Tribolium castaneum: one gene and its partner. The protein of the gene in region 1 interacts with the protein of each later gene in a pairwise test. Links are inferred from orthologs where the notes say so. Each region holds a gene or a part of one and is shown in the gene's direction. Other genes may lie near its edges.

The links.
Region 2: the proteins of Prosalpha2 (region 1) and vesicle-fusing ATPase 1 interact in binary tests that used the Caenorhabditis elegans proteins (3 or more experiments, as listed by UniProt). The link is inferred for Tribolium castaneum from reciprocal best matches to the Caenorhabditis elegans genes pas-2 and nsf-1.

Annotation. Positions count from the first base shown.
Region 1 is NC_087397.1:11,803,704-11,807,132, reverse strand, and holds Prosalpha2 (proteasome subunit alpha type-2), read left to right. Parts: upstream 1-1,168; 5' UTR 1,169-1,268; coding exon 1,269-1,309; intron 1,310-1,430; coding exon 1,431-1,507; intron 1,508-1,558; coding exon 1,559-1,970; intron 1,971-2,351; coding exon 2,352-2,526; 3' UTR 2,527-2,599; downstream 2,600-3,429. UniProt on the Caenorhabditis elegans protein: The proteasome is a multicatalytic proteinase complex which is characterized by its ability to cleave peptides with Arg, Phe, Tyr, Leu, and Glu adjacent to the leaving group at neutral or slightly basic pH.
Region 2 is NC_087395.1:13,854,060-13,857,991, forward strand, and holds the start of vesicle-fusing ATPase 1, read left to right. Parts: upstream 1-1,585; 5' UTR 1,586-1,708; intron 1,709-1,712; exon of another isoform or gene 1,713-1,780; 5' UTR 1,781-1,845; coding exon 1,846-1,848; intron 1,849-1,928; coding exon 1,929-2,017; intron 2,018-2,066; coding exon 2,067-2,276; intron 2,277-2,329; coding exon 2,330-2,475; intron 2,476-3,932. Other genes in the region: Calr (calreticulin), read left to right, coding at 1,099-1,119. UniProt on the Caenorhabditis elegans protein: Required for vesicle-mediated transport. Catalyzes the fusion of transport vesicles within the Golgi cisternae. Is also required for transport from the endoplasmic reticulum to the Golgi stack.

The DNA of each region.
Region 1 (3,429 bases):
TTATCTTTGCCTTTTTATTGGTTGAGCGCATTGAAAGGACATGACTCCGATTGGCTTTCGGGCCAGCTCCACACAATTAAATTCAAGTAATTTAAACAAAACAAAAATATTTGGCAACCTTATTTTTAATAAGTAGTTGTTTTACTGGTTACGATTATTTTATAGAAGAATAGTAATTAACAAAAAAGAAAGAAATGTAATGCAATGCATTCTGCAAATAATTAGCTTTCTGTCTCATCAATAATGTACTAAAAAGTTGGGGAAAATACTATTTTTGGTCTAATTTCTTTTTTCGGTTTAACAAAAGTTATAATGCATGTTTTTTATTCCTTTAAAAACAATTTCGACATATTGACAGATAAACTGTCATGGCTCATGGATAACTAGTTTAGAAATTTAAAAAAATATATAATAAAAGCCTTAATTAGAGAAAAAATGTGAGGAGGCAACAAATTTAAAAAACGTGTTTAAAAGAAAGAAGAACTCATTTTTTGACCGAATTTTGTCATTTTACAACCTACTTTTGACGAAATTTCGCCCAAAAACTGGAGTGAAACCGATTGGTTTTATTTTATTTTTGTGATTTTGAAGCCTGTTTTGTCAAAACACAACCAATTTACACTTATTTTGTAGATTTAGACGGTTTTTTGATCAAATGTAAAATATGGGGTGCTAAAAGTAATTTTTCAAAAAAAAAAAAATAAATGAATTCCAAAATAACAATAGTTTTATTAGAGTTCAACACTGCCTGATATCTGATAAAAACTAAATTGTTAATAATTGAAAATTAATACTAATTTATTTAACGAATAAATTTATAATAAATTAGCTGTTTCAAAACTATAAAAACGCCAACGTCGATTTTTTTTAAATAAAATTGATGGAATTGTAAATCTCATCGAAAGTATAAATTACATTTGCTATTATTTTTTTGAAGTGTATGGATAATTTATAACAGCTAATTTTGAGAGAAAATGCGATGTTTTTATAGTTTTGGAACAGCTAATACTAAATTTTAAAAAAATTGTGTTTTTATCAGAGCACCAAAAAATTGTAATAGTTTTTAATTTGTTATTAATGGAAAATGCACATTTAGCTGATATCTTACAGCCAAAAGAGCAACTGTTTTTCTGCTACAGTTTCCTGTAAAAGAGTTTTGCTTAGTGCGTAACCAAGCTTCTAGATGGTGCTGAGACGGTTTGAATGATTTGGTAAAAAGTTAACAAACAGCATTACCAACATAAAAACAATTTGTTTTGCAAGTAATCATGGCATCTGAGCGGTATAGTTTTTCTTTAACTACTTTCAGGTAAAAACATGATTTCGCTTTGTATAAGTTGGAAAAAAATCACAATTGTGATTTTTCCCACAATTTGATAGTTTTTGTGCTACTGTTTTACTTATTTTTTCACCGATAACCTCACTTTTAGCCCTTCAGGAAAACTAGTGCAAATCGAGTATGCCTTAGCTGCTGTGGCTGCAGGTGCCCCCTCCGTGGGGATCAAGGGTACCTCAGATCCTCTTTCTTAATAATTTTCACCTAATATCATTATTGCAGCCTGTAATGGAGTCGTTATTGCCACCGAAAACAAACACAAATCCATACTTTATGATGAACACAGTGTGCATAAAGTCGAAATGATAACGAAACACATTGGTATGATTTATTCGGGCATGGGCCCCGATTATAGATTACTGGTCAAACAGGCGAGAAAAATGGCCCAGAAGTATTTTCTCACCTACCGAGAGCCCATCCCTACTGTACAACTTGTACAACGTGTGGCGGCTGTTATGCAAGAATATACGCAATCAGGGGGCGTACGGCCCTTTGGCGTGTCTTTGTTGATTTGTGGGTGGGACAGTGGCAGGCCTTATTTGTTCCAGTGTGACCCCTCAGGGGCCTATTTCGCGTGGAAGGCCACAGCGATGGGTAAAAACTACATCAATGGCAAGACTTTCTTAGAGAAGAGGTAATAATAATTTTTGTATATTATCATTTGTATTTAACATTTTGGTCGACGCTCTTTATTAATCAACCAAAAATATTTTTTGTTACACGCCAAATTACAATTATTTAAATTATTACGATTGTAGAAAAAAAGTAATGTATACCTCAGCATTAAAATTTTTTCTTACTTATGTCAAATTTCTGACGAAGAAATGAATTTTTGTGCGTTGTTTTACAATAGTTAGCACTGGACTTGAATTTATTTTTATCTTCCGAGGCGATAGTTGAGTATAAAAAATTGTGTTGCCATTCTAAATATCGCTGTTTTTAAATTATGTAAAAAATTGTGTTGATTTTAAGTATGATTTCTGGAAAAAAATCGTTTGTATTGTTTGGTCTTTAGATACAGTGAAGATTTGGAGTTGGATGATGCAGTTCACACTGCGATTTTGACGTTAAAAGAGAGCTTTGAGGGGCAGATGACGGCGGATAATATTGAAGTTGGGATTTGTGATGAGTCAGGCTTCAGAAGATTGGAGCCTTCTCATGTTAAGGATTATTTGGCGAATATACCTTAGATTCGTTTTTGTACACTCATGTATTTGGATTATTGTCATCTTGCTTTTGCATAAATAAATATTTTAAAATCTACCTAAGTTTTTTTTATAACTTTATTATCTAGCGCATGGACAGGACATATTCTAATTGAAAAAATCAGTTTTAAATTAACCTTGGAATAAGCTAAAAATGTGCGAATATCGGGGGCTCCTACTGACTGCGCCAATGAAATACGCGATTTTATTTTGTAAAAAAATATTACAACTGGCAGCTAGACGATATGATACCGGATTGTTCTATTCGAAAAAACATACAAAATAGCCCATCTGTTAAAAAATTGTTTCATCGAAAAATGTTTACTACACCGACTTTTTTCGATTACCACTAGTATGCATATTATGCCAGACCTCAGTGTATCTTTTGTTATTACACTAGTTTATATAGTATAGCTGTTGCCAAAGTTTTTTTTGCTGTTGTTAATTAATTGCTAAACGCTGATTTCAAAAGTGCAAACAGAATTTTTCTATCAGCCTTAGTTTTGGAGATTAGCTTAACTTAAGTTAACATTTCTTTTAATAAAGAACACATTTTTTTTAACAATTTAGGTTACATATCTGTTGCCTCAGATTTTTTGCTGGTGTTGAATGATTGTTGCAGCTATAGTTTTTGAGATATAAGTAATTCATATTAGCACTTTTCGCACTTTTTATAAGCTCTAACATTGACATTTTACTATAGACTCCTATGCAACTATCAATTCGGATTAGTGCAAAAAGCTTTAGAACTTCTATGAAAGATAGTGGGAAAATTAGTTATAACAGACAATAGGGTGTCCACAATAGTTAGTTCATTTTGTTTATATTAGGTACAATCATACATTAGTTTGGTTGTAATGTAGTATTATCATTATTATAAACAAGAAT
Region 2 (3,932 bases), on another chromosome or scaffold:
AATAATAATTCATCATTGGGTTAGGGACCGATTATTTGGTGTGAAATTTAAAAACATTAAAAAATAATGATAACTATAGAAACTAATAAAATGAGTCGTTTTTCAAGATTTTTCTCGAATGTAAATTTGCTCAATAAAGTAAAGGCTTTGCTGTTTTGAGGTCAAAACTCTTTTTTTATTAAATTTCGCTAAAATCGGTCGAAAAGTTACAAGTTAAATAGCAAGTGTTATTTCAGCTTCTTTCGCTGAATTTAGTTTAAACCAGATACACATTTATTTTACACGATCTTATCAAAATATGTCAGAAAATCATGGAATTAAATCGAATTCCATTTTTCTTGTTGCACTCTATTTTTCTCGTCTATTTTTAGCGAGATTTCATCAAAAGTTTACCATAAAACTAAATAATTAAGGTGGTAATAATTTTACCAGTTAAAAACTTTTCAACAGCATTTAAACGAAAATCATTATGGGTTAGAAGCTTATTTCTAACGCAAGATTTTTCCACCACTCTAAACCGTTTTTAACCGCTCATTTTCTCTTAAAAAAAACGTAAACCTTTGATGCCATTGGAAAGATTTAAACCGAATTTGGTAAGTGAACCTGCTACACTATTAAAAAGATTTAAAAAAAATGGTAGTGTGGTGAAAGGGGTGTAAATCTGATAATTCTTTCAGCTCGGATCTGGAGATTTTTATTTTTTGCGTTGGTGACAGTGTTACTACGAGATCTGTTAGATTTATTTTAAAGAATTTCTCTAAAAATGCAGTGTCTGTTAGATCGAATTTGTTATTTCGGTCTATATTATTTTGCAGTCTTATCAAAACATCTTTAAAAATGTTGAAAAATTAAATCAAATTTGTTGATGTTTGTCCTGTTCTATTCAATTATTTTAATCTCGAATTTTCTGATTTTTTTGGGTTGGCAACAGTGTTAAATTAAAAATTAAAAAAAGTGATTGTGGATAAAATAACTATAAATTCGGTAGGAATGTCATTAAACGCTCGGACTCCGTTTGATAACTTGAGCCCTCGCAATAATTATACTTCCTGCACCTTGTTTATGTAATATACTATTTTTTATATTTTTTTGTTACAGGAAAATCATGACGAGTTGTGAGTGTAAAAGAGACAATTTTTATATCTTACTGTGTGCAGTGTTTTGTTCCATAGTGTGTACTATTTCTTTGACTGATTTTTGTTAATAATGAGCGTATTACTTCTAATAAAACACAAAATCCTACAATAAGTTGTTTTTGTATTCACATTTTATTTGTACAAAATTCAAATAAATTATTATAACTTGTATGTAATTTTAATATTGAGATGTAAACGTACGACCGACGCTCTTCCATTTTTACTTTTTGTAAAATAATTATGTAAGTGGTCAATAAACACGAACCTCCGTTATTACAAGTTTACTTTTTCTTTTGATGACCTGACATCATCACTGATGTGGCTTAAGCTTTAGTCGCGGCTACTGCCGCCAGGGGCGCTGTAGATGACGATGTGACAGTGCCGCCAACATAATTTTTAAAGATTTGCAACTAATTTCAATTATTGAAGCAAAGTGAAAGAAATCTTATATCTTGCCACTTAACATTCAGACGTTGGCTCTGGAACCCTTTTTGTGATACATTGTTGCAAAATTACTAGTTAATGTAAAGTAGGGGTAACGTGGGCAGTTGATTGGCGACACTGTAAAACGGGTAAGTGAGGTTAAGTTGTGTTAGGTTAAGGTTGTTATCCTGTCAGTGCTGTGTAAAGTATTGATTTTGCAGGTTTTCACTAAACCTGCATTGCAGCATCTTCAAACTGAAGTTACAGAATTTATTCTTGAACGAAAATGGTAATTTTTCAAATGATTTAAAGAACATTGTATTTGATTGTCTCTACCGCAAGTAAACTAACAAAAATTTGTTGTTTTAGTTGTTTAAAGTGGTGAAATGCCCCTCAGATGAGCTGTCATTGACAAATTGTGCTGTCGTGAATGACGCCGACTTTTCACAATCTACAGAGTGAGTCATTAGGATTACATGAGCTGTTCCGAAGCCGATTTATTTGCAGGCATATTGAAGTCATCACAGGAGGAGTGAAAAAGTTCATTTTTTCCATTAAGAAAGACCCGAGAGTTCACAGGAATGAGGTTGCGTTCAGTGTACCACAGAGAAAATGGGCCACCTTGTCCATTAATGATGACATTGAAGTTAATCCTTACAAGGAAGAAGATTACATAACTTCGATTGTCCTGGAGGCTGATTACATGCAAAAGAAAACGTGAATAGTTTGCATTTAGTTTGAGCCCTTTTTAACACATTATTTTATTATAGAACATCGCAAGAGCAATATGACACAGATGAAATGGCTAAAGAATTTATTTACTCGTTTCCAAATCAGATGTTTACTGTTGGTCAACAACTGGCTTTCCTCTTTAAAGACAAAAAGATACTTAGCCTGCTCGTCAAGGACATTGAAGGTAGGTTGGTAAAAAAATAAGATTGTTTTCTGCGTATATGTTTTATAAATTCTAATTATACATAAATTCTAATTATAAGTTGGCAGGTACTAATCTTTCTTAATAATTTCATTAAACAAATGCAGGGCCTAAACAATTATGTAGGTTTTTTTTAGCAAGTGTTTGACTTTGGCAGTCGCAAGCATTCCAAAATTTTTACTGTTTAAAAAAAAACAAAAAACCTCACAGGTAAATCAAACACTCTGAAACATTTTTAAAAGAAAATTTCGTATGGAGAATGACAAATATGCTAAGTCTAATGTGTTGCAATATGTTGCAACTTTTAATAATGATGTGGAATAACTTCAGAAGTCTGTGATTCAGAAGTCTCGTATGTGAGTCAAGATATAGCACGTATTATTTTTTCTTGAATTTAGTTAGGGGAAATGCTAGACTTTGCAACATTAAGCAGATACCTGTTAAAACAAAAGAAGAAAAAACATCGTTTTGTGCTTTATGGAGGATAAAATATCTAACAAACTAGCAAATATGACAATTATTGAATTAAATTTTTAAGGAAATTATTTAAGAAAATATCTGCCATCATTTTGATGTTTAGCTGAACGTCTTTTAGCACCATTTGTAAGTTGGGCCAACATTTTTGAATCATCCTGCAAAAAATCACTTAAATAATGTGTTCGCACATTGTTGTCATTGAATAATGCGGTTCTATAGAATAAATCTTATTTGGAAAAACATGAAGTTTGTTTAAATTATTCCGAAAATGGCATTATTTTTGTACTTTTCAGAGTTTTACCAATTTTTTTCCTATGCGGAAATTAACTATTTTTACTGGTTTCCTACGAAACCATTCAAAAAATCATCACGGTTTTGTAGCCTCGGTTTTTTTCACAATATTTTGTTGAACTGTATTAAAAATACTACATTAGGAGCAACAAAAATACATCATTTTAGCAAAAACACTCCCAAATATCAATTATTTCGAGAAACTTTTTTAATAGACCGAAAAATCACAAAATTGGGGTGAAAATAGTGTTATATTCGCTTTTTCAAACATCCAAGAACGCTTTTGACTTAAAAATTTCAATAGACATATTTCAATATGTCTATTTTTAAAAGCCTTGAAACACCAAATACCGTCAAACTTAATAAGTAATAGTAAATTAATGAATTTGTAATAAATTAGTCTGTAAATGACATTGTTTTTGTGTTTTTCCTGAGGTTTAGCGTTTTTTTCTAATTGGAAAAACATAATTTTGAGTGGTTTCGTAAACAAAATATTCTAAAAATCACCACGGATTCGCAGACTCCGTTTTTTTGCTGAACTGTATCTATCAAAAATGTTAAACTAGGCATAAAAGTTAGAAAATCAATTATTATTTCTAGAATTTTTTATAAATAAACCGAAAAATTGTCATTTTGGGTTAAATGTGGTGTTATTGATGCGTTTTCAAGCA